Linked DNA regions of Saccharomyces cerevisiae S288C. Changing the gene in region 2 together with the main gene of any one other region gives a genetic interaction. Each region holds a gene or a part of one and is shown on either strand. Other genes may lie near its edges.

What was found.
Region 1: mutations in ICY1 (region 2) and DPC29 together harm fitness more than expected from each alone (negative genetic interaction), as found in Saccharomyces cerevisiae (2 studies listed by BioGRID).

The regions. Positions count from the first base shown.
Region 1 is NC_001139.9:525,592-529,087, reverse strand, and holds DPC29 (post-initiation translation factor DPC29), read right to left. Parts: upstream 1,457-3,496; coding exon 584-1,456; downstream 1-583. Other genes in the region: VMA7 (H(+)-transporting V1 sector ATPase subunit F), read left to right, coding at 1,759-2,115; UGA1 (4-aminobutyrate transaminase), read right to left, coding at 2,444-3,496.
Region 2 is NC_001145.3:652,222-655,094, forward strand, and holds ICY1 (Icy1p), read left to right. Parts: upstream 1-1,812; coding exon 1,813-2,196; downstream 2,197-2,873. Other genes in the region: CMC4 (Cmc4p), read right to left, coding at 373-554, 627-666; YMR196W (uncharacterized protein), read left to right, coding at 2,855-2,873. UniProt on the Saccharomyces cerevisiae protein: Required for viability of cells lacking mtDNA.

The DNA.
Region 1 (3,496 bases), on a different chromosome or scaffold from region 2:
AAGAGTACTTACAGTAAATAGCAGTATCCTTCGTTTTTCATCTACACTTTTCTACCTAAAATTGATCTTCCCGAAGAAGAAAAACTAAAAACTTCGATTTGATGACTGTCAAGACCCCAAGAAAGAGGGAAAAAAAAAAATGATATCTCATGCAACAACAAGTAATTAAGTGCTCCTTGTTCATGGAAGACACAACAGGCACCACTAATAACCTGAATGAGGCACCTTCGACTTTCGAGATGAGCCCTTAGTTCATCCTGGTGTTGTGTTTGAGAGGGGGAGAGCACATCATTGTACTTCCAGATCCCCCTAGCCATGATCTAATATTACCGCTGAGTAAAAATAGATCTCGGCTGCGTCTCCGTCTCCGCCCGCCTTCCGTCGGTTACTTCGTCGGTTCTTGCTCGACCCCCGCCAGTCCGCAGACAACAGTCCGCAGCAGGCAAGTGCTGGTGTCCGCTTGGTGTTTTTACGTACGATTGTCTTTGTTGTTGTTTTTACTCTTTATTACAGTTATTACTACTGTTTGTTTAGTATATACAGGTATTTGTGGTATTGATTATTTATTTACGGTTTGGTTGGATTAAGCGTTGCTAGCGTTAGTGTACAACGACGTCACTTCGTCGATGTCCTCGAGCGCTGTGGTCAGTTTCTGTAGTTTCTCGAGCGTTTCATCGCCTTGCACGAAAACTTCCATATCCGGCTTGGCATTGTAGCCGATGCCCAAGTCTCTGATGTGGAAACCACGCTCCTTCAGTAGGGCGGCCACCTTATTGGTATCGGCAGGTTCCATCACCGCCTCGTAAGTTTGGCCTGTAGTTTCAGTTTCGGTATCACACTCTAAATCTTCTGCGTCTTCCTGCACAGGCGCAATGTCTTCGATGCCTTGAATCTCCAGTACGCTTTCTAGCACCTTGTCCTCAGTGTCTAACATCTTCGGAGGTACCATTGTAACGTATCCTTTTTTGTCGAAGAAAAACAACGTTGGAGTCATCGATCCATTAGCTTTATTAAATGCACTCCTTATCAGACCTATGGTCCTGTTCTTGTTGTCTGTCAGCGCTTCCACCACTATAGCGACCCCGCCGGGCCCCATTCCCTCGTATACACATAGCTCAGAAGCGTTTGAGTCCTTGCCCGATGCGCTGCTTCCAGAAGCTTTCCGGATGGCGTTCTCAATAACTTTTTTGCTGACATTGTTTTTATTTGCTAGCTCGATGCTGGTGGCTAATCTTATATTCATGCTCGGATCCGTAATACCGTTGCCTAACTTGACTGACATTGCTATCTGGTTTGCAAACTTGTTATTAATTTTGTTTCGTTCCGCATCATTCTTGGCTTTACCGTGCTTGATGGTTGACCATTTGTTGTGACCTGAACGTACCGAGGAATTCAGCACACTAAACGATCGAGAGTTTTTGAGCAGTTCACCCAGATACCTATTTCTTACCAACATTTTCCAATTTTTGATGCGTTCATACCAAGTTTGCTGTTTTTCTTAGTTATTATCATCATCTTTCCCCTTATTGCTGCTGAAACTTGCGTACGTGCGTACTAAAAAAATTTCACTGCGCTTACGCCGGTAAAGGGAAGTAGGAAAACGAAAGAAAAAAAAAAAATAAAGGCGAACGATAACAGGAAAACCAACGTGAATTGCAAGCACTACATTTATTATATCGAGTTGACAAAGAATTAAGAAAATAGAGCACTACATTTCTATATTCATAGCTAGTCTCACTGACGCATAGTAACTAAATCATGGCTGAGAAACGTACTCTTATAGCTGTGATAGCTGACGAAGATACTACAACTGGTTTATTGTTAGCCGGGATTGGACAAATCACTCCTGAAACCCAAGAAAAGAACTTTTTTGTTTACCAAGAAGGTAAGACTACTAAGGAGGAAATCACTGACAAGTTTAATCACTTTACTGAAGAGAGAGACGATATTGCCATCCTTCTAATCAACCAACATATCGCGGAAAACATAAGAGCTAGAGTGGACTCCTTCACCAATGCGTTCCCTGCTATTTTAGAAATTCCATCTAAAGATCATCCCTACGACCCTGAAAAGGACTCTGTATTGAAGAGAGTCAGAAAGTTGTTCGGTGAGTAAGCGAACGATCTTTCCCAAAACAAACACAATTACTGGTAGATTACTAGTAGCAGGCGGAGGTGGAGGGCGGGAGCCACTGTTATTGCGTTTGTATAATATATACACTCATAAATGATATATTTAAGGTTCAGATAAAAACAACTTTTTTTTTTTTAGCACGTCTTTACTGCAGTCACCAAACCCATTTTTTTTTTCCTATTGTGAATACCCGCCCATATTTTTCACACACAACTGATGAGTAATATAAAACTTTTCTTTAAAATTATAACAAGATACACATATATAAAGACCAAAAAAGGGAACGTGACACGGCCTCGCTAATATACAATCATAATTCATTAACTGATTTGGCTAATGCTTCAATAAAGATATCAGCATGCTTCTCCTCGAATGTTAATGAAGGTCTTAATCTCACTGCATGGACTGCACATCCACCAACGTTGCAACCATTCAACTTCAATTTCTTCAATAGTAAGTCTCTCTTCTCACCAGTAGGCAAATCCCAGGCAATGAATGTGCCTCTTCCTTTACCTCTCAAGTTTTGAAAGTTTTCAGGGTATTTCTTCTGCAAACCCTCCAATTTCTTGAACAAATAATCACCTACTCTTGAACATTGTTCAGTCAACTTCTTGTCGGAGATTTCCTGTCCAATGGCACCTGCAATGATCATTCTTGCAGGTTCACCACACCATGTGTTGAATTGTCTGTATGGTTTGTTTGGAATGAATTTAGGGTCGTGGAAGAAATATCCTGCACTTTGGAATTTCTTGGAAAAGGTCACTAAATCCACAGGTGGTTGAATATCGGCGTACTCATGACACCATAGCTTACCGGTGGCTCCGACACCTGTTTGCACTTCATCTATGATGTAGACAACGTTATACTTCAAGGTAATGTCTCTTAGCTTTTGTAAGAAATACTTAGAAGCGTGGTTATCACCTCCCTCAGATTGAATTGGTTCGATGATTAAGGCAGCAACTGGAATAGACCAGGTTTTGATTAATTCTTCAACAATGGCCAAGCAATGGTCATCCTCTTTACGGTTTGCATCAGAATTTTCATCTAATGGGTATTGGTAAGATGGATACTCAGCATGAGGCCAGTGGAAGGCTGGGAAATCCAACTTGTGAATTGGTTTAGAACAAGTTGTGGAACCGGAGGCAAACAATCTACCGTGGAACGCTCTCTTGAACGATAGTACGGCAAGATGAGGGGCGCCAGGGGCGTCATTGTCCATGACAGACAAGTTTTCCTTTTCAGAAAAATCGGCATCATAGCCCCTTTGTTTGGCACGGTAATAAATAAAGGCAGCCTTGAACGCTAATTCATTGGCATCTGCACCGGAAAGCCCTGACCAGACGTGATCTTGACCCTTTGGCGC
Region 2 (2,873 bases):
TTGGTATTTAAAAAATCTTTTCTTTTCCTTTTTTTGGTTTTTTGAAAAAGGGTAATAATGTCTTTTATAATAGACACCCAGAGTCACGATTCGTCTTGGTTTTAGAGATTCTGTTTCGACAGTTTTTTTAGGCGGTGGACGTATATAGTTTACTTAATCGTTTACTATACGGTGGAGTACTAATACTATTTCACTGTCGTGCTCGCGGTTGATCTTAGATAAATATATTTCTTTTTCATAAAGAAAGTGAGTGGATCTTCCCTGGAAGTACGAATAATGTACTTATGATTAGATTCTCTTCACGCACATACCTTTTTTTTTTTTTCAATTGCTAGTTCATACATACGTAGAAAGAAGGGCCAATTGGAAGCCTCAACTGTCCCCTGGTGTAAGCTTTCGCTGTTTCATCTTCAACTCAAGAAGCGAAGGTAGCGGACAGCAGGGTGACCGTGAATCTTTTCCATTGTCATTGTAAAATTTTGAGCAGCAGATGTACAGCTGATCTATAACTTTAGCGCATTTAGCATCATCGTACTGATGTGATAGAAGGCAATCTAAAATTAATGTGAAAAAACGTTAGTGAAAAGAAAAAAACGATCGAATCTTTTGAAGTTAATATTACAAACCTTGGATGGCGCAGGCCTCCTTCTGGCATGGATTAGACATATTTACCTCTTATTTGAACAAATCTCAACAACTAAAAAAACGCTCAATATCTTGGAAAAAAAGAACAGTAATATTCTGTCTCTCCACACCCTCTTCTGAACTCTCATATACACCCCATGGGTGAAAAGTAATATCCGTAAAAGTCTCGCTAACGGATGACGTTAACAACGCACGCCCGCTCCTTGCGAAATTTATTGTGGGGACGTCGTTCACGTGCAAAAGTCGCCAAATATTAGCGACGGGCAACATCGGAAAAACTCTGCGCCCGCGATTCCGATTGAGATGTGTAATTTGTAGTATTGAACGTGACAGGAAACAAAAAATATCAAAACGCTAGCAAGGTTTAAGGGGAGGGGTGAAGAACGAACGATAGGATACTGCACAAATCAGCAATTAAGAAACAATATACAAAAACCCCCAAAGTGGTCATGTTAAGGAGGGCATTTTTCCGCATGGAAACGAAACGTGGGCATGACGTGGAAGCGATGATCCGAGCGCTTCTGCTACTGTGGTGACCACCGTACCAAAGGAGGGGTAATAAGACCCTGTGCCCTTTGCCAGCATACGTGTTACCCCCCTCAAAAAGAGCTGGCTGTTCGAGCTAGCTGCTCTTTCTGTTGCCATTCCCGTACCAAGAGCGCCCCGTAGCTCGATTTTCAGCACCTTGGTGGATATCAGGGGAATTTTACCGCCGCAAGCGATCAGCGTAGAGTGCGCACAGAAAACAGACAGAAATGACTGAAGCGGATGAAAAAAAATTTTCTGGCGCGGCCCAATCTCCGCGGAAGAGTCATTCCGTGAAATGAAAACAAAAGACGCGCATAGTAGGAGAAAGATTATGCAGCTTGATAGCGGGTTATCATACCAGCGTTAATGACACCTTCAAGTGGGTAAAGTACCCTTTGTTATCGTTTTCTTGGCTACGCGGATAGACTAATTTAATTGATATATATGTAGCTAGACACGTTCATAATTTTTATGCTCTAGTGCATGTGCCTCTTACTCATTATTGTCAAAAATTTTTGCATGTAATATTTGTTTTCCGTAGTCATTCAGCACTAGCCTGTTTGTTAATATATATAGATAGACAAACTAATGACAAGGAGAATTGAATTTCTCATATAACACATACAATAAAACCAAGAAATGTCTTCAAACTATGCCACTCCTTTAGACGATGAGGTGTTTCCCTTATCTTTTGCCAATTATCAATTTACCGAGCATGTGTCACTTGGTGAGCATTATTCACTCAATACTTCGGAAGATGCCAAATATAATAATTTGAATGGTCCTTTCGTGGTACCGAGAGACACCGGGAAGTTCGATTTGAACACAAGTTCTGCCTCGGACGAGACTGTGTTCTCGTTAGATAACCCTCAAGAAAACAACTACAAACACCAAGCCATGAATAACGTCCAGGATTGTCGCATGGCCGTCGCGGCCAAAACTACCCAGTCGTGTGATAAATTGACCGATCTTTATGCCAATGCCGCCCAACAAAACTACAGATTGTGGCTGTCTTCATTTTAGAATAACGATTAAGGAATGATAATCAAAAGAAAAAAACAATCTACCTACATATATATGCACTCAACATACATAAATACACACGCATTATTGTTTCTATAAACTTCCAACAGACAATATTCCCATACAAACATCAACTAACTGATTTCCTCTTCATACGCGTTCGCTTCACGTGATGTTCCTTTTCCATTGAAAGGAGAGCTCATCACAAGAGTTACAATGGGAGTGGCGGCGCACCGTCTGCTGACAAGAATAAGTGTAAGACCAGCTACCGGAAGAAAAAAGAAAATAAAATGGATACTCTGTGTCTCCGAATGCCCCTATTTGTTGTATCCATTGATTGTTATCCTGTCTTCTTCTTTCTTTAGTTTAAATCTTTAGCGATTCAGATCCAATTGAACAAAAAAAAGGCTAGATCAAAAATAAGGGGTAAAACATCATCTTGCGGGGCTAACCCAGATCAAAAGCGGCAAGCCAAGAAAACCTGTTTGATAACACTGTAATATATATATATATATATACTATACGATCGTACCTTGGTATCCACCGCTTTCTCAGCACCTCCAAATTTCTAAAGTGCAACTAAAGAGTCTTGTCAAGTATTCTTTTACTAGTGTTAAGACCTTGTATTGGTAAGAGATAGCAAGTCTAAACAGCAACAATGAACAAGCTAAGAGACA